5 linked regions of the Cricetulus griseus genome follow. The protein of the gene in region 3 interacts with the protein of the main gene of each other region in a pairwise test. Links are inferred from orthologs where the notes say so. Each region holds a gene or a part of one and is shown on either strand. Other genes may lie near its edges. The genes, in order: Sertad3, Necab2, Kpna2, Maged1 and Nmnat1.

Region 1 (4,015 bases), on a different chromosome or scaffold from region 3:
TAGCGCTTGAAGACTAAAACAGGAGGGTAGAGAATGCCAGGGTAGCTTAGGCTAAATACATAGCAAGAGCCTGTTTCAGGAAACAACCAAAAAAATGTCTGGAGACGTAGCTCAGAAGTAGAGTGAGTGCTTTGGCACTAGGTCGGCGCTGTGTTCCCTCCCCAACACCAAAAAAAAAAAAAAAAAAAAAAAAAGAAAAGAAAGAAACAAAGGGGGGAATTTTCTGGGGCTGGAGGGGCACACCTGTAACCCCAGCCAGAACTGAGGCGATGGGAGCAAGGGAATTAGAATTTCAAGGCCAGCACTGTCTACAACACGAGCCGGGAGCTTGCACACGACTGTCTCAAAACAAAACGAAACCTGAAAATGAGTCCTGGGGAACAGGAAGGAAGGCACCCCAGGCCAGATCGTGATAGGGCAAGCTCACCCGTCACTCTGAGACCATGTCACAAAATAAGTACAAACTGAAAAATCTTAGGGGCTATGTAGCTCAGTCCTACTACAGCGCTCAAGTCCAGTGCCCAAACCCAAAAGATAAATTTGAGTTTGTCCCGAGAGTTGCGCGGAGCGATGAAGAGTGAGCAGCAAGAGGCGGGCAACATGATTTCGAAACCATGGGGCAGCCTGGGATCCAGGAGCTCCCACCAAACGGGCAGCGGACCCCTCAAGATTAAGCACCGACTGCGCCTACAAAACGGCTGGGGAGCTGGGGGAGGCAGAGCGAAGCCTGCCAAGGGGCGGGGCTGCGGTCGTCCAGGTAACGCAAGCCGCAATACGCGATTGGCTGATATTTAGTGCGTCACTCCCTCCCCCCCTCCGCTTAGCCGGGGCGGGGGCGTGGCCTCCGCGGGTTTGCCCAGCCTGCAAAACCGCAAGGGAGGGAGGGAGGGGAGTGTGGTGTCACCCGGTGTGGCCCCGCACTGGGGTCTGGCCCGGGTGTGTAAGCGACCTGCGGAGAGACAGAGGAGCAAGAAACACAGCGGGGTGCAAAGAAGCCGTGCGCACGGCCGGCGCCACCCTCCGCCACCGTGCTGGCCCGCCCCGCCCCCTGTTAGTCGCCAGCTTAAACGGGACCCGGCCCTGGAGGGGGGCGGAGCCTAGCGCCCGTGGCTCCTCCTAGCCAATGGCGCCCCACGGCGGGCAGGGTTCCAACCAATCGTGGCTCGCTATGGCCTGCGGGGCGGAGCCGAGCGTCTCCCCGCCCCCGGCCCCCCGGCCCCCCTCCCACGGCCAGACCCGGAGGCCCCGGGGAAAGTGAGCCTGACTCCTGGCCAGCTCTGGTGGGACGCGGCGCCCAGCGCGGGGTTGCCGGAGGTTTGCAGTCGAGGCGACCGTGGCGACCGAGGTGATTGATCAGTGGCCGCCTGGGTGGGGTTTGCTGAAGTTGCAGGAGGGGGAGGAGGGGGAGGAGGAGGGGGCGCGCCCCGGGGTGGGGTGGGCGGAAGCGGGGTAGGGACCCGGGCGGATTGGTGTGGCTGAAGCCGGATCCCAGCATCAGCACCGGAGGGGAGGCAGGATGGAGCTGGAGGACCGAGGGGAACCGGAGGAGGAACTTTGGAGCGGGGCGACGGCTTGGGTGTCCCCGGGTGGGCAGAGTGCGGAGTGGCTCGGCGTTCTGGGGAGCGAGTGAGAGTTCCAGGGCTGCCGCCGCAACCCCTTAGATAGAGGAGCCCGGGAAGAACGCGGGGCACCCGGGGCTGGGCTTCCGAGACGCCCGTCTGAGAAGGGGATGATGCCTGGGGAGGAGTTCCGGCTCGGGGTCCTCCGACCTTGCAAAGTAAAGCCGGGGGGAAGTCATTTCAAAGTCGAGCCACGAACGGGGGGACGCTGGGGACGAGGTCTCAGAATCGAGGTCCCCGCTCTCCCCCGGCCGGACTACCGTAGTCAGTCGTTCACCTGCTCTGAACGATGCGATGCGGGACTCCGCACCCCGAGGACGCTCGAAGGAAGAATCCAGAAACTTCCTGGGGTGATAGGAACCCGGAGAAAGCCCTTTTCGGGTGGAAGGCGGGTGGGGGAGGGGCGTGGAGCTCAGATTCGCCGCCCCGAAGGCAGCAGAGGGCGGGGTTCGGCCGGTGCCCGGCGGCTGGGCGTCCGGGTCCCTTCCCCCCGCCACCAACCAGAGCTCCAATGAGCATGCTCTCGGGCAGGGCGGGTGTGTCCAGGCCCCCCCAGCGCGCAGCGCCTTCTGGGGATTGTAGTTCGAGAGTGACAGCAGCGGCTCTGCCTGTGGTCTCTGGGTCCACAGCTCCCAGAAGGCCCTGAGGACATATTGGGGTGTTCTTGGATCTGATCTAGAGATCCAGGGAAGGGCGGTGCCTATGAGAAAGGACTGTATGGAGGGCACAGCTTGGTGTTGGTTCAGTTCTATCCGGTTGAGGAATGCAAGTTTGGTAAATGCTCCCTCTCTTGTGAAAGCTCCTGGTCTTGGTGTCGGAAACGTATATGGACAGAAATATCCTTGTAAAAAGAAGAAAATCACACACACACACACACACACACACACACACACACACACACACACACACACACACACACACACACCCTCAGTTGGGCATGGGGTTGCACGTCCCAGCATTTGGAAAAGAAAGGCGGTAGGATATGAGTTCTAGGCCAACCTGACCTACAGGGGAGGTTCCAGGGCTACACAGAGAAACCTTGTCTGAAAAGAAACAAAAACAAAACAACAAATCTAAGGTCCAGAGATATGGCCATGCCTCTTGCCAAGATCACAGTTCAAACGCAGAGCTCAAATGTGCTTTCGGTCTGTGGCTCTGTACTCCATACTTGGCTGTCCTGTGACTTGTTAGGGAAAAAAAAAAAAAGATAATAAAAGTATTGCTGGAGAACAGTGCAAGATCCATTGAGATCAGAGTTAAGATCCTCACTTTGCAAATGCTGAAATTGCTCGTCAGAGTGTAATTTTAACATCGTGACTGCCGCAGGCTAATAAGTGATATTCAAGCCAAGTGATATTCAAGTGTTTGGTGATTTGTTTGGGGGCTTTTTGTTTTTCTGAGAGAGGGCCATCTGACCATGAGACTCTGCTTACCCTAAGATTGGATACGTGGACTAGGGTGGTCTTTATTTTTATTTATTTATTTTTTGACTAGGGTGGTCTTGAACTCACAAAACTCTACCTGCCTCTGCCTCCTGGTGATGAAATTAATGGCATGGGACAGCATTGGCAATTTTTTTTCTGTTTATTTTTATGTTTTTAATTTTAGGTGTATGAGTATTTTACTTGCATGTATGTATAGACACCACTTGTGGCAGATCCCCTAAAGTGGAGGCATAGGTCCTCTAAAACTGGAGTTTTAGACAGCTCAGAACCATCACGTTGGTGCTAGAAATCAAACTCAGGTCCTCCGGAAGAGCAGCTGGTGTTCTTAACCACTCAGCCATACCTTTTATATTTGAGATGCTATCTAGCCAAGGATGACCTTGAACTCCTGAACTTTTCTGCCTCCTAAATGCTCTTACACACACACACACACACACACTCACGCACGCACGCACGCACGCACGCACGCACACACACACACACACACATTCTCTTTCTCACTGATCACTCTGTGCTACCCTACTTGCATCTTGTTTTAATATACATTGTTGTTTTGCCTGCATGTATGTCTGTGTCTGAAGGTGTCAGATAGATCTTGGAGTTACAGAGAGTTGTGAGCTGCCCTGTGGGTGCTGGGAATTGAACCCGAGTGCTCTGGAAGGGCAGTCGGTGCTCTTAACCACTGAGCCGTCTCTCCAGCCCTGAATCTTGTTCTTTTAATCAAATAGCATACATTTATTCACCATTCTTAGCCTTGTAGGAGTCTGACTATATGCACTTTTAAGTAGAGGTTCTGATCAAAGGAACCAACCAACCCTCCCGTAACTATACAGTCTTGCTTGAAAAAGTGGGATCCAAAGGTATCCAAAGGCATGGCTGTCTCATGCCTTTAATTCCAGTACTGTGAGGGCTGGGTGGATCTCTGAATTCGAGGCCAGCCTGGTCTTACAG
Region 2 (3,513 bases), on a different chromosome or scaffold from region 3:
TCCTATCTGTTCAGATCAGAAAAGGGGAAATGGGACCCACACACAGGCGGGCAGCTGCCAGGGAGCCCATATCCCTGGGCTATCCAGCCTTGGCTTTATCAGTGTACAACTTCAGGGTGCCTGGCAGAGGGGCATAGTGGGAGCAGGATGTTCTTTTGCTGTGGGGTGGGGTTTGAGTGGGAGTCACTTGGTCAGTGAGGACCTCAGATAGGGTTGTGAGGGGTTCTTAATGACATTGTTGCAAAAATGTGTTTGCTGTCAGCACTTGAAAAATGCAGTTCATGACTCTGTCCATGTGGGCAGCCTTGCAATACCAAGTCCCCAGTGTCATCGGCCACCATTCTGGGGACAGACAGCTTTCCCTTTATTGATTTATATTATTATCTTAATCAAACTTCCCCTTTTCCTCCTGCTGTGGACAGATAGCAGCCTTGGGCAATTTTCCTGGCTGCCTTCCTACGCTCTGTGGCTCTATCCATGGTTCCACCCGCCTGCCCCCACTAGGAGGGGATAACTCTGGGGTGTCAGTGGAAGGAGTGGGTGGTGTGTCTTGATGGGAAATCTGTTCCGTGCCCACAGACACCTCAAACTGCCCCACATCTAAACACTTTTGGCTACAAGCCCTGAGTTCTCTTGCACTACCCTCTGTCCCCACCATGGAGTAGCCCCCAAGGGTGCTGTGTTCCAAGAGAAGCTGCTTGAGGGGCCTCCCACTCAACTCTTCATGGTCTGAGGGACACACTGAATTTGTTACTGGCATGTAGAAATGTGTGTGTGATAGACAGCTCAAAGCCTCCGCTAGCCTTGTCTCTCTGGGGGAGCTGAGCCTGCTTCCTCAACACAGGAGAAAGTCTCGTTAAGCTTTCAGGAGTCACAGGAGACAAATTCAAAATGGGATAGGGGTATCAGCCACATACCCCATTAACTGCAATATCTGTAGTCAGTTTTGCAAGCCCATCTTTGTGCATAAGGAATTGGCTGTTCACCCCGAATTTTTGGAGACCCTGCTGGGTGCCTGTCACTGTGTTAGGGGTGAAGGGTGCCAGGTGAGTTATGTGCATGGGGGAAAGAGGACATGGGGACAAGAGATGGACTCTGGCTCTGGCTAGGTTCAGGGTATTTTCTTGCTGCCTTGTTGGGGGTGGGGTGTCTCACTGACCCAGGTCTTCCTCCCCAGAAGTCACTCCACAGTCTCTACTGAGACTAGGAAGGAGGAAGCTATGAGCTATGAGATCAGCCAGATAGGTTCCTGGCCCAGCCATGAAAATGAGCCTATGGGACACAGGGTCTGGCCTCAAGAGTCCTGGCTTAGAGCTATGCCCCAGCTGACCACATGGCCTTGGCCAAGTCACCTGCCTCATGGGTGGTTTCCTCCTGTGTGAAAATGAAGGTCACTCTGACCATCCTGCAGATGTGGTCCCACAGGGCAGGCCTGTGCACATTTCAGGGCATGGCCAGTGCTTCCAAAGTGCATGGTGAAGGTTGTAGAGGTGATCATGGTCCTACAGCTGCCCTCATCAACACCTTGTTTCTCCTGTGCACACTGCAGACAGGAGCACTGCAAACCCAGCCACGGCATCACCGAGAGCCACTATGGAGGCCCCAGTCCTCCCTACATCCCCAACCACAAACTTGTTCCCCCCGAGCCAGCCGGGAAGAGCCTGTCTGTGGGTAAGAAAGCATCAATGGGCACTACCCTCCAAGGGGACCCAAGGAATCTCCTCTAGGGCCTAGCCTGGGGTTGGGGCTCGGCCTCCTCAGGATGGCCCTGCCCACCACCAGGGTCTCTCTGTTTTTCAGCCACAGGGGAGCCAAAGGAGGAGGGGCTGGAGGGCCAGATAAGCCGGTTGGCAGAGCTGATTGGGAGACTGGAGAGCAAGGTAGGCCCACCCCAAGCCCCTTTCACCTTTCTCCTGTCCACTTTAGAACTTGTTTGCTGGGGAGGTTGAGGTCACCCTGGTGGGTGGGAGGTTGTACAGAGTTGGACTGAGGCCATGGTCCTGACTATGGGAGGGCAGGCAGCATTCCAGGTGCAGAGTAATCAGTAAGGTCCTATGCTGTTATCATTTCCAAGAAAGCTAGCTCCAAGACAGGAGGCAAAAAGCAGGTGTGAGTGGGACTCCGCAATGGTTGGAGGCAGGTTCCAGACAGGAGAGTGCTGACCACACAACACAGTCCAGAAGTGTGGAGCTAGGGACAGTGTGTAACTTGAAGGACTCCCACAGGGGCTTGCAGATGGGTGGGCTCAGGTGTTCCTCTGCTGGAGCTGGGTTTCTGCTCTTTGGCTCCATTTGAGTCAGTGGCTTGCTCTCTCTGAGCCTGACACGCCTGCTCTGATGACAGCGGAGACATCTAGGCGATCAGTGTTCCTCACCAAGGTGCAGGTGGCTCAGGTCAGAGTCTGATGTCCCTGTTAGCATCTAACCTTAGCCATGTTAGCACTGCTGTCATCCTTTACCAAATTACCTACACATGTGCCCAGGGCTCCCATGCACATGCTTACACCGAGTGAGTGACAGGTATCTCGGAGCCCTGGGATTGAGGTAACATTTCTTCTGTTTTTCTGTATTTCTTTTGCAAGGAGCTCTGGTACTTAGCTGGTTTGGGGCTTTGTTCTGAGGGACTCATGGGCGTGAAGCAAGGGCCTCCTCACTGGAAAGCAGTCTGATGGGAGGAAAGGCTGTTGGTGGCTCAGCTGCAGGGCTGTGACTGAAGCGGGGGTCCCCCTCCCACACCCCTTTTAAGCCTGCTGCCCTGCCCAGGGTGAGAGCAGCATGGTGGGGACCTTGTGCCCGGTTGTCATAACAACTCAGTGGGTGCCCCAGGAGGGAGGCTCTTTGAAGCTTATTTTTAGTACCCCGGTCGCCCTAACAACCAGGCTGCTGGTAACCAGGAGCACCTAGGCATCCTGGAGATGGGGCGGGGTCCTCCAAGGTCTCTGATTGGCCTAAGCCATTAGTATGGGCAGATTCAAGCCAGCTCCAGGCTTGGCCCCCCAGATAGCCAGGCAAGGCTTCTAACTGTGCCTGGAGAGCAGGGAGGATGGAGGTCCTTGGTAGCAGGTCTGGGTACTGCTGGGCTGGCCATCTCATTGTAGAGAGACCAAAGGGCCCCGGCCTTCCTGGAGCTGCCCATGTGCCTGTTAAGTGACAGAAACAAGCTTGAATCTTCGAAGACATCTTATCTACTTGGCCCTTTCTTGAGATGTACAGACAAGAGGTCAGTGGAGACTAGAGGTGTGATTCAGAGGCAGGCCCTTGTTCAAACTTGAGAACCAACCACCCACCACTGTTTTCTTTAACAGTGGATGCACCTCTTGCTTGTTACATGTAGCTGTCTTCGGGCAGGGCAGACAGGCACAGAGGCTGTGATTGTGAGGTACCCACATTGTAGGAAGAATAGAGGAGACATAGGTTTAAACTCAGGCCCTAATAATCCTTAACTCATCTGAGCCTGGGGTTCTGTGCTGTGACATAGCAATGACTGGACATCAGTGTGGCCCTGTCTTGGGTG
Region 3 (3,513 bases):
ATTCCTTCCAAACAACTTTTTTTGTTGTTTTCAAGACAGGGTTTCTATGAAGCCCGAGCTACCCTGAACTTGCTCTATAGAGAACAAGAGATCTGCCTGCCTCCTGAGTGGTATGATTAAAGGCAAGTAACACCCACCCTACCTGGCATCCAAATTTTCAACTTTTTTTTGTTGTTTTTTTTTTTTTCGAGGCAGGGTTTCTCTGTGTAGTTTTGGAGCCTGTCCTGGAACTAGCTCTTGTAGACCAGGCTGGTCTCGAACTCAGAGATCCACCTGCCTCTGCCTCATGAATGCTGGGATCAAAGGCGTGCACCACCAACACCAGACCCCAAATTTTCAACTTTTAACTGATTCCTGTGAGCAGGAAACCTGGCCACATGACAAAGATTTACATACATGTAGGCATGAAACACCAGTGACTCCTTTCTCTAGACTCAACTTTCTTTTGTAAAAAGTTCTAGTTTACTCTATAATCTAGACTGGCTTGGAACTATGTAGTCCAGGCTGGTCTTCAACTCATCACAGTCCTCCTGTGTGCTAGGATTTTAAGTGTGAGCTACCAATACCAACTTACACTCAACTTGAAAAGTTCCAGAACTAGTAGAAATACTATCACAAAATGTCAGATGCTGGCACACTTGAAATCAAATAGGGATAGGGCTGGGGGGCGGGGAACGACACTTATTTCAATTAAATCCCCAGGTGGAAGTGGCACAGGCCTCTAATCCCAGCATTCGGGAAAGATTAAAGGCAGAGGCAGGCAGATCTGAGTTTGAGGCCAGCTCGATGTACAGAGCAAGTTCCAGAACAGCAACGGCTACAAAGGCAGGCAGGCAGGAGCACCAAAATACAAAATCAAACCATGGGACTAGTGAGGTAGTTCACCATATAAAACTGAGTGTGGAGTGTGGTGAAAACCATGAGAGGTGGAGGCAATAGGCTCAGAAAGAAATTCAAGGACATCTCCAGCTATATAGGGAGTTCAAGCTAGCCTAGGCCACTTGACACCTTCCCATCCTTAAAGGAGCTAGAGAAGTGGCTCAGTGAGTGGTTAAGAGCTTTTTTTCTTGCAGAGGATGTGGGTTTGATTCCCAGCACCTATGTGGTCAGCACACCAGTATAACTCCAGCCACGATCCACATAGAATTTTTCCTTCTTTCTGAGACAGGGTTTCTCTGTTGAGCCCTGTAGACTAGGCTGGTCTTGAACTTACAGAGATCTGCTTCCTCTGCCTCCTGCGCCACCACTGCCCCACTAAGAATTCATTAGTAAATGTACAAAGTAAGGCTGCACATGAACACCCTTCTGATTCTGCAGACTATTAGTAATCAAACTTACCTGTCCTCTCCCCAGTCCTAAATAGTAACTATCAACTCAATTCAAACACACAGCCTTGTTAGGACTTACCTGAAAGATATTTGAAATGGCATCAAGAATAACCAAAATAATTTTGGTATCTTTTGCACTTAAGAGGTTCATCAAAGGTTCTATTATGCCACAATGAACAAGATACACAATCTGTTCAACAGTCCCACCACTGGTGTAGTTGGTTACAGCCCATACAGCTTCCTTCTGTGTCTTAAAGTCTGCCTGATAAGCAAGAAGAAAATGGTTTTAGTTCAGAAACCCGAGAGGTTAGACTCCAAAAGGTAGGGTTTGTTCCACAGACAGAACTAAACTACCTGCTGGTTCTACCCAACATTAGGAGGTGCTTGCTGCCTGTTACCTAACAGAAGCTCGCTGTCCTCAAACTCAGAGATCCTCCTCCTGTCTCTACCTCCCAAGCCCAGGGATTAAAGACATATAGGCTGTCATAAATATTAACAATCTTCTGACTACATCCTACACTCACTTCATTACCTTAGAGAGGACACCAACAAGATATGGGACTAAGCCATGATTCACAACTTGCTGTATCTGGTCCTGGCGTCCAGCTGTGATGTTTGACATTGTCCACGTGGCCTCCTTCTGAATATTAGTTTTGGAGTTTGTTAGCAGGTTGGGAAAAACTGCAAGTGCTCCTGCATCTATCACAATCTGAGTCTGTTCATCTGTTCCAGTGACAATATTCCCTATGGCTCTGAGTGCAGGAGTCTGAAATAGAAAAAATGTTGCTGCAGATTAGTTACATGGTATTATTCTTCCAGGCTTCTAAAAATTCGTTCCCCCCCCCCCAGACAGGGTTTCTCTGTGGCTTTGGAGTCTGTCTGCCTCTAACTCAGAGATCCGCCTGCCTCTGCCTCTCGGTGCTGGAATTAAAGGTGTGTGCCACCATCACCCTAAAAATTCTCTATTCAAAAACTTCTACAAAAGTCACAGGCAGTATCAATACTACCAACTGATTATGCTCTTGTACTATTAAAGCTCGTAAATAAAAGGTCAGTACTTACCACAATTGGCAACTCAGTGGCTCCTAGAAGCTTCACAAGTTGGGGCACAACTCCTGTCTTTACAACCATTTCAATCCGCTCATTTGGACCATCAGTCAAGTAGGAAATAGCCCAGCAGGAATCTGCTAATACTTCTGGGTCATTGTGATGCAGAAGACGAACTAAAGTAGGAAGAATCTGCTCAACAGCATCTAGGGGGGGTGCAGGATTCTTGTTGCGACAAAGGTTTGAAAGTGTCCAGGTAAGGTTGCGTAAATAACCACACTGTGGGGAAGAAAAGTTAATTATAAGGCTCATTTCTGAGTAGATGGGGAAAATAAGAACCAAATACTTTATTTATGGTATTAACTTACTGCCAAGGAAGACAGGTCAGGAATTGCAAGAAGTGCCAACAGTGGGTCAACTGCACCATATTTGATAACTAAATCTCGGAAAACTGAACCATCACCTGAAACAGAAAGCAAGATTAGCTGGTGAACACCTTTAATTCTAGGATCTATTTTTGTGAGTTCCAAGCTAACCTGGTCTACAGTCAGTGGTAAGCAGTGAGACCCAGTTTCAGAAAAAAAAAAAAAAAAAAAACACGATGAATGAGTGAATCTGCTACTGAATGACTGTCACATACTCAATCGCTTCTCCAGCAGCATGGTGAGATGCCTCTTCCCCTCCTAATATGGGAGGGCCTAGAGCAAGCTCAAGGCCCCACCCAGAAGTCACCAGGACCTTTAACAGTGTCCTTTAATCACACTGGCTACATTCAGTCCAAAGAATTTTAAGTACAAGTACCTGCAATGTTTCCAAGAGCCCAAACAGCTTGCTCGCTGATGTGAGCATGGGGAGATGCCAAGAGAGAAATGAATGCTGGGATAGCACCTCCATCTACCACAGCCTTGGTCTGTTCCGACGTTCCAGAAGCAATGTTAGTAAGTGCCCAAGCAGATTCAAACTGAATGGGACTACAATCCGTTTTGCCCAAGAAGGACACAAATTTTGGGATCAAACCAGCCCGAATGATGTTGTCTATAGGAGGTTGTTTCTCCCTAGAAAGCAGTTTCCTAAGGGGAAACAAAAAAAGAAAATCAAAAGTTGAAGTTTATTTCCAAGGTACCTTGAAAATAAAGGT
Region 4 (4,215 bases), on a different chromosome or scaffold from region 3:
CTAGTGAGGCCCGCCTTTGATCCCCACTGCTGTTCTCTTCCACATTCAAGTTATTAATCTGCATCGTAAGAGAAAAGAAAATTCCAGAGTCACTATTAATCCTTGGTCCTCCCAGCAGCTAATCTAGGAAGTTCCTATGAATTTTCCACCTATAAGGACATTCTGACCCTTCACTAGTCATCGGTCACTTTATGTTTATTTTTCATTGTCTTTCAGGTGGGAGATTCATGTCCAAACCAGACCAAGAACAACCATAAAGTGGGGACTAGGGCTTCTCCTTTTCCTGTGTGACTACTGCTATCATCCTGAATTCAAGCCATCTCATTTCATCCTGTGTTTTCTCTAGCTAGTGAGGTGAAGCTTCAATGATAATTTGGTGTGAGCCAGCCTAGCTTACGACCTCACCCATGGTGTTTACTGTCAAAATGTAAAATGACCTATACACAGGTGGTACGGTGATCCAGATTATCTGTCCTTGTATAAACTCACCATCAACCTGTGGACAATCAGGGGTCAGGAATAAACATTTACCTCAACACCCCCTAAAACCTAGCCCCAATACAGGTATATGCGCCCTTTATTTTGTTTGGAGCTAAGTAAAGCTAGGAGGGATCTCACCTTGCGGGTCCTCTTGCCCCGAATTATAGTCCGAGACTCCACATTCTGAGCCTGGGAGCCATCGGCTGAGGTCTGTGCAGCTGCACCACCAGTTTCAGAGATACCTGGGCTGGTCCCTACATTAGCCATTTTGGCCTGGTTTACATTCTGGATCTGGGCATCAGCTGCAGGGACCTTAGTGGTATCATTCCAAGCCTTAGTAGCTGTCTTAGGCTGGTTGTTGATCATCTCATTGGCACTGGGAGACTGAGAGAAATTGTAGGTGGCACCAGGGCCTGCCTTAGTAGTGGTATTCTGGACCTTAAAGGCTATTTCAGACTTTTTAGCTGCTGATTTGCCTGTGGTTGCTCCGTGGGAAAAATTAGAGGCAGCATTTGGCCCTTTAGAGGTGCCATTATGTGACTTATAGGCCGCCTTAGACTGGTTCTTGGACATCTCCTTGGCATTACGTGCGTGAGAGAAATCATTTGGACCCTTTGAGAAGGTATTCTGGGCTCTAAAGCCTGTCTTAGGCCTAGCAGCTGCTGTTGAAACCCCAGTATCAGCCACCTGATTGGCAGTTGGGGGCTGTGAACTCTGGGGACTAACATTCTGCCCACTGGCAGCTGCTGTGGCCTGGTTGGTGGGTGGAGCCTCGGAGATCTGGATGGCTTCCATCAAGGTCTGCACAAGCAAGGCGCTGTCTTCTACAGAGGCCTCAGCCTGCAAATACAGGAGGGGGAATTTCAACCTCTGGGCCTTACAAGCCAGATCAGAAGGAGGGGCATACGCAGCAGGGGAGCTGTAGACACGCATCGCAGTTCACAGATCTGGGGGCACAGAAGGGTCAAAGGGAGGCGGGGTGGGAACAAAATTTGGTTAAGAATAGAGGGGGCAGGACAAGGTGAGGGCAGTCAGAGGCAGCAGGGACTGGTGAGGAACCGTGGTGCAACCACTGACCCCAAACAGGTTCAGAGCCGGACTGGTTAGGCTTGCGGTGGGGAGCTCAAGACCCGAGGAGGAGGAGGGAGGAATCGCGGAGGATAAGCAGGGAGGGTGGAGGGGGAGTCTCGCGGCGTGGAGAAAGGGAGGGTGGAGGCGAGAGGTTGGGGGATGGGGCGACAGACTGCTCTACACGCGTCAGGGTTATGGAAAAAAAAATGGTTCCTTACCCAACCCGCATTCTCTGGGCAGAATGCCCTGACTAACAGGGTCTCCCCTTTCTCTAAGCAGGGACCGATGGCTGAAAAGGGACGCCCCTCCCCCCATTCGATAAACGCTAGACATTTGAGAGCCAGCGGAGTCTAGGCCGGAAGAAGGGCAAAATCAGAGCCTGCCATTTGTGCCACCAAAGGGGCCGGGGGGTGCGCGTAATCTGTCAGCAGGGAAAATGGAGGAATGGGGAGCGGGGATCTCACCTGGTAGCCGCGGAGGCCTGCACCGCCGTCCGGTTTCTGAGCCATAGCTCTTGTGTCTCTGGCAAGAGCAGAGCCTAGGGGGGTGTGGGAGAGGAACTAGGCATTACACTACAGAAGGAAAATACGTAGGGCCGAATTGTGTGTGCGTGTGTGGTTTGATGCTGGGGGCGGGTGAGGTGCTGGATAAGGGGAGAAACAAGCCTAATCAGAGCGGGAAAAGTAAATGAGCATCCTGATGGGCAATTTAAAAATTCCAGAACCCGATAGGGAAAAGCTTCAAATCCGCGTTCTGGAATCTGATAAGAGCTCTGAATGCGGCAGTTTTCGGGGGGCGGGGGAGAGCGAGGGGGAAAAATTCGCTTCTGGAAAGTTGGATTGAGGTTCTCAATCAAAAGGAATCTATAACGGATCAAGGTCGAGAAATTTGAGGATTCTGTGAAGGAATGGGATAAGGATTCAGAGAATGAACGGGGTTCTAAATTAGATGGGGGGGGGGGTAAGAATCAGGGATCGGGTAGTGGAGGGGGTTTCTGAATCCAGGGTAAAGGGATTGGGATAAAAGAATGGGGGAAGGATGCCACACCAGGGGGCAGATGCCCAGTCTGGGGGCTAATCTCACCTTGCCTCAGGCCCCAACCCCAACCCCCTTGCTGTCTCCCTTCTTCACGACTCAGAGGATCAGGATTGCTGTGCTCGGCTCTCAGCAGCCGCACTCTCTCCTTGTCCAGGAGAAAATGCCAGCGCGGCAGCTCGGGCGACCCCGCCTCTTCGCCTAATATACCACCCACCGCCTCAGGAAGCCTCGCGCATGCGCAATAGCTAACTGTCCAAATAAGAGTCCCGCTTGCTTTCCCAACAAAAGCTTCATCCTAGAGACCTTGTCGCGCATGTGCACTTGGAGGAGATCCCGCCTCTTTGCCAACACACTATCCCACCGCCAACCAGGTTGACAGTGTACGAAGGTTCCTCCCCTTCTTCTTACGCACCCACTCCTCCAACAGATGCGCAGCGCCTTTTGGTCCCACCCCCTTGCCCAACACACCAGCCCCCTACCTTTATCCGCAATGCGTCTCTCCTCAGTCCCTCCCTTCCCCCCCCACCCAGGACTCTCTAGCCAGGCCTGCAAGTACCTCCCACCCCTTGCTTAGGGCCTCTTAGGTAGGCCTCTGCGGGGGGTCTCTTAGTTCGCTGCAAGCTAGGCCTCTGCTGAGTTCACCCACTTTGCAACGCAGGAACCTTAAAGGTCGGCCTTGGGGGGGATACATTCCAGGAGGTAGCAAAGCAAGTGCCAGCCAGGGGGTAGATTTCCTCTGACCAGACTCAGAAAATGAGCTTTTCTCTTGCCGCCCTCCCCACCCCGTTTTCTTTTTATTTATTTATTTATTTATTTATTTATTTATTTATTTATTTATTTGCAGTTTTGCCATGGAAACATTTCATGAGGTGTGGGCCAGAGAGGGGAGGGAAAGGCATAAGGGCAGTGGGATCTGTCCTGGAGCTGGTTTTTCTCGAACATCAGCCCTAGAAGATTGATGGAGGGCAACATCTTCATTTTGCATACCAGGTAGCTAAATCATAAACCCACTGTATGAACCAGGGCACTGAGCAAGTAACAAACAGAGAGGGCAAAATTTGGCACAGCACAGTGGTGCACACTGGTAATCCCAGCACTCTGGAGACTGAGTGAGGAAAGCCACGAGTTCCAGGCCAGGTGCACAACGCTGAGACTTTATCCAAAAACCAAACATGGGGCGGGGCGGGGGGGTGGGGTGCGGATTTTCCTGACTGCAAAATCTATATAGCTATTAGTGCTGGTCTGAGAATCAAGACACCCCTTAATTTTTCATTGAAATGACAATCTTTCCTCTCCCCAATATTTGTTCCAAGTGGACAAAGCCTGTGTTCTAAGAGGCCTAGTATATGTGGGAACCCTTCAGGTTCACTCTGTACTCCCGTTGGCAGGCACTTGCCCAGAGTGAGACCCCAGGACTTGATGATGCTTGCTTGAGGCCGGAGCAGTCAGGTGTGTCTGTTCTGTTCTTGCAGAATGAACCTCGGCTGGGCTTTAGAATTGCGTGATTAGTGTCGGGACTATCTGTCCCTGGTTATGTGAGCCCCTGAGAATATAGTCACTTTAGTCAACTTTGGTAAGCCTGGTTTACTGACTACCCAAAATAAGAATCACAGAAAGGGGGCCCTG
Region 5 (4,093 bases), on a different chromosome or scaffold from region 3:
AAAATGCTCCCAGCCCCAGTGCTCTAGGAGGACCTCAGGTTTCCTTCCCCTGGGGAATGAGGAGGCTGGTGGAAGCTGATCCCTCAGAGTACAGGAGGCAGTCTTTGTCCTTTATCACATTGGTGACCTGTCTCATATATCCATCCCGGCTTTACCAACTCAGCCACCTTAGCTAGACTCTCCAAGCCACAGAGGGTTAAGTTACAGTGAGCTCCTACATCGTGACCTGTCCAACATGGCGGTAACATTGGGTGTGGAGTCTCAGACAGAACTGTTCTGAATGCTGCCGGACCAGTGTCGCCATGATTCACTTTTGTTTGGTCCACACAGCCTATCACCTGCACTGCTGGCTGCCGAGGTCCCATCGGCTCAGGCTGTAAGTGTTCCTCCCCAGCACACTGTGTCAAAGGTTCATTGCTTCCTGGGGCAGTCTTCAGATCCAACTAAAATTTACTTCTAAATCACCCATCTTTTGAGTTTTAAAGATATCATGATGGAAGCATTAACTCACAGCTACCACTGTTTCAAAGACCACTGTGACTCTGCTGGCTCTCCTTGTCCCATTTCCGGATGCTCAGTCTAAAGCCATGCTGGCCCACAGTTAAACGACCTGCCTGGCCAGACCGCCTCTCACCACCACCCTCTGAAAGGACGCGCTGTTGTAACTTTCAGCCTGACCCCTCACCTTGTTCTGAAGCTGCTGCAGCTGTTATACATAGTGTAGATTTGGAAGGTATCAACAACCATTTTCTATGAACACCCTGAAGTCCTTTGGGCCTCACCCCTATTAATAAAAAAACAGCTAATGCGGGAGGAGGCGGACTATTATTTAATGATTAACATTTGCAGCAGTCAACAGTGATTCTGGTATGGCTCCTGACAGCAGGCAAGGCTGCCAGGGGTGTGGGCGAGAATCCTAGCTGTTTCACTTACTGCTGCTGTTTGTCCTTGAACCCTGGTTTCTGCATTTTTAAAATGGGACCCAAGTCTTAGTGACATGTACCTCTAGTCCCAGGGCTAGGCAAGCTGAAGCAGGAGGATTGCTTTAGCCCAGGAGTCCAAGCAGAACCTGGGAAACATAGTAAGATTTAGTCTTAAAAAAATAATAATAAAAGTGTGTGTGTGCACTGGCTCTTGTGGTGGGTGATGGTGCTTGTCTTTCTTTTTTTAAAAAATAGTTTATTTAACTTTATTTTATGTGTATTGGTGTGAAGGTGTTAGATCCCCTGAAACTGAAGTAACAGACAGCTGTGAGCTGCCATGTGGGTGCTGGGAATTGAACCTGTGTCCTCTGAAAGAGCAGCCAGTGCTCTTAACCGCTGAGCCATCTCTCCAGCCCCATGGTGCTTGTCTTTAATCCCAGCACACAGAAGGCAGAAGCAGGCAGATTTCTGTGAGTTCAAGGCCAGCCTGGTCTATACTGGGAGTTTCTGGCCAGCCATGAATAATTAGTGAGACCCTACTATAAAAAAAGAAAAGGGCAGGGCGTGTGTGTGTGTGTGTGTGTGTGTGTGTGTGTGTGTGTGTGTGTGTGTGTGTGTGTGTGTGTGTGTGTGGCGCATGCGCGCGCACACATAGTCCTTATTTTATAGAACTTTGTAAATAAATATATAGATATTTGGTTTTTCGAGACAGGGTTTCTCTGTGTAGCTTTGGAGCCTATCCTGGCACTCTGGACACCAGGCTGGCCTGGAACTCACATCCGCCTGCCTCTGCCTCCCGAGTGCTGGGATTAAAGGCATGCTCCACAACGCCCGGCGAACTTTGTGAATATCAAATAAGATAATGCATATAAGATATTCAATATATTTATCCAATTCAAATAATCATTTTATAGTTTTTTTCTATTTATGCTTACTTTGAATTAATACTTCCTACTACTTGTGTGTTGTTTCCTAACATTAACTTAATTACGGTAAAGGAATCCAATCCTACAGATTTCCCAGAGAGCTGAATACTGGCAGCTGGTAGCTTTTCACTTAGGTGTTAACAGGTACGTTTCATTGGAGGGTGCAGTGCCAGGGGAGTGCATGGCAATTCTCTTCTGCCTGGGTGAAAAAACTCTCTGTGATTTAATCAGTGTGAAACACACCTTGAGTGTGGTTCCGTGAAGTCATAAGGTATCCCTGTGCCGTGCAGCCAGGTGATGGTGTTCCTGTTTGGGATCGGCACCCTGACGCTCCAGTTCTATGTGCTGCTGCGGTGAGTCTCACAGGCCTTACCTGTGGGTTTGGGGCGGGGGCTCCCTGAGATTCCTGTTACTCAATTAACTGCTGCCTGCCCCATTGTTTCTGCTCCTATTATTGGTGGCCATCCAGTCCACCTCTTTGCATTCTTGAAAATCTCAGTAAAGAGAAGGTTGCAGAGATTTGGACAGATTAGGATTAACTTTTAACCAATATTTACTTCCAGTGTAAGAGGCCATTAAATGGGAGACAGTGAAGACACCAATGTCTCCATCATGGGAGGACAGTCCCAAGGGCCTAAGCGTCAGCTAATGTCTGCAGAGCTGAGGGCAGAATTGAGTAGTCAACCAACTGGATTCTGAACTGATGTTCAATTCAGATTCAGTGCTAGTGCTTAGTCATGGAAACTAGAGACCGTCTCTAACAACAGGGGAGGCTAGAGACTGCCCACTAACAACGGTGAAGGCTAGAGACTATCCGCTAACAACAGTGGAGGCTAGAGACCATCCACTAACAACAGTGGAGGCTAGAGACCGTCCTCTAACAACGGTTGAGGCTAGAGACCGTCCTCTAACAATGGTGGAGGCTAGAGACCATTCACTAATAACCCTCACTGGAGAAGCAAAGCAAGCACAATCCACTTACTTAATATAAAGAGTCACAATATTTGTGTGTGTGTGTGTTTTGTTTTTTGTAATTGTTTGATCCCACAAATTTCAGAGAATATACAGATAATCCCATTACCTTGATATTCTCTGAGTGAAAAAAACCAATTTTAATTTATGATGACCTAAAATCCTAGTGCCATGCCTAGAGGCAATAGGAGGAACAGTCATCAAAGAATTACAATCTTAAAGATGTGGAAGTTCTACAAAAATCAGAAAACTGACTTGATGAGGATACAAAGAGAAGGTGTGAGCTGGTGATAATTCCACAATGCAAGTCCACCACAGGAGGCTTGTACCCACACAGCACAGTTCTTTACTCCCAAAGGTCAGAATTTCTACAAAGTATTTTTACCAAACCATCAAATAAGGATTAGGACCTTATAACTAGCATCATTTCCTAGTTTTGAAGCCATTGTTAGAGCTGGGGCATGAAGGGGGCTGATGTACCTCAGACACAGGACTGTGTAGTGGGTGGTGGATGAAGGGCACCAGCCTGTGAATTGCTTTCCAGGCCCAGATCCTCGAGGCACTGCAGTCAGCCTCTCCTGGCCAACTTGACTAGCAATATCGTCCTCACCTTCTTCACCCTCGGTAGGTGTGGAGCTGTCCGTAAGTACCCAGCAGGTGTCTATTATCTGATAGATACAGGTTGTGGGCACAAAAGCGGCTAAGAGGTTTCTGCTCTACAGATGTTCACAGACTGGCGCACAAGAAAAACCACATTGAAAACTCCTGATGGTTGGCTGGGTTGCAGATTAATGGTAGAATGTTCACCTAGCACGTGTGATGCCCTGGGTTTGCCACCATCTTTAAAAATAAAACCAAATGTTAAATGAAGAGAATCTTTTAAATTTCTTAGGTAGCAACCCTTATAGTTATCCTACAATCAGAATGTGAAACTAAGGCCAAATCTAGTAAAATAAATCACATTTTTCTCCTTTCTTCCCCTCCTCATTCTTTCTTCTGGAGTGGGTGGGGTGGGCCGTTTCTTGCGATGGATGGTCTTGAATTCACTGTGTATTCCAGCTAGCCTCAAAGTCATGGTAATCTTCCTGCCCCTCAGCCTTCAGTGCTGGGATTACAGACATGGGCCACCATGCCTGACCTGTAACAGTTTATATAGTTATACTAAAGTTCTGGATTTAGTTATTCATTCAGTAAGTAGTGTTGGGCCAGCAAGCTGGCTCAGCAGGTAAAGGTGCTTGCTGGGCAGGCCTGGCAACTGGAGTTCTATTCCAG

Evidence for each region.
Region 1: the proteins of Kpna2 (region 3) and Sertad3 interact in binary tests that used the Homo sapiens proteins (3 or more experiments, as listed by UniProt). The two-hybrid records come from large-scale screens. The link is inferred for Cricetulus griseus from reciprocal best matches to the Homo sapiens genes KPNA2 and SERTAD3.
Region 2: the proteins of Kpna2 (region 3) and Necab2 interact in binary tests that used the Homo sapiens proteins (3 or more experiments, as listed by UniProt). The two-hybrid records come from large-scale screens. The link is inferred for Cricetulus griseus from reciprocal best matches to the Homo sapiens genes KPNA2 and NECAB2.
Region 4: the proteins of Kpna2 (region 3) and Maged1 interact in binary tests that used the Homo sapiens proteins (3 or more experiments, as listed by UniProt). The two-hybrid records come from large-scale screens. The link is inferred for Cricetulus griseus from reciprocal best matches to the Homo sapiens genes KPNA2 and MAGED1.
Region 5: the proteins of Kpna2 (region 3) and Nmnat1 interact in a two-hybrid assay, tested with the Homo sapiens proteins (3 studies listed by BioGRID and IntAct). The two-hybrid records come from large-scale screens. The link is inferred for Cricetulus griseus from reciprocal best matches to the Homo sapiens genes KPNA2 and NMNAT1.

Annotation. Positions count from the first base shown.
Region 1 is NC_048602.1:8,447,586-8,451,600, reverse strand, and holds the start of Sertad3 (SERTA domain-containing protein 3), read left to right. Parts: upstream 1-1,203; 5' UTR 1,204-1,345; intron 1,346-1,467; exon of another isoform or gene 1,468-1,586; intron 1,587-4,015.
Region 2 is NC_048596.1:196,098,528-196,102,040, forward strand, and holds part of Necab2 (N-terminal EF-hand calcium-binding protein 2), read left to right. Parts: intron 1-1,549; coding exon 1,550-1,671; intron 1,672-1,800; coding exon 1,801-1,880; intron 1,881-3,513. UniProt on the Homo sapiens protein: May act as a signaling scaffold protein that senses intracellular calcium.
Region 3 is NC_048600.1:119,941,127-119,944,639, forward strand, and holds part of Kpna2 (importin subunit alpha-1), read right to left. Parts: intron 3,446-3,513; coding exon 3,177-3,445; intron 2,839-3,176; coding exon 2,744-2,838; intron 2,655-2,743; coding exon 2,391-2,654; intron 2,095-2,390; coding exon 1,861-2,094; intron 1,591-1,860; coding exon 1,408-1,590; intron 1-1,407.
Region 4 is NC_048604.1:75,451,554-75,455,768, reverse strand, and holds the start of Maged1 (melanoma-associated antigen D1), read right to left. Parts: upstream 2,801-4,215; 5' UTR 2,635-2,800; intron 2,090-2,634; 5' UTR 2,061-2,089; coding exon 2,016-2,060; intron 1,321-2,015; coding exon 619-1,320; intron 59-618; coding exon 1-58. UniProt on the Homo sapiens protein: Involved in the apoptotic response after nerve growth factor (NGF) binding in neuronal cells. Inhibits cell cycle progression, and facilitates NGFR-mediated apoptosis. May act as a regulator of the function of DLX family members.
Region 5 is NC_048595.1:6,903,378-6,907,470, reverse strand, and holds the start of Nmnat1 (nicotinamide/nicotinic acid mononucleotide adenylyltransferase 1), read right to left. Parts: upstream 2,812-4,093; 5' UTR 2,118-2,811; coding exon 2,093-2,117; intron 1,070-2,092; coding exon 1,004-1,069; intron 1-1,003.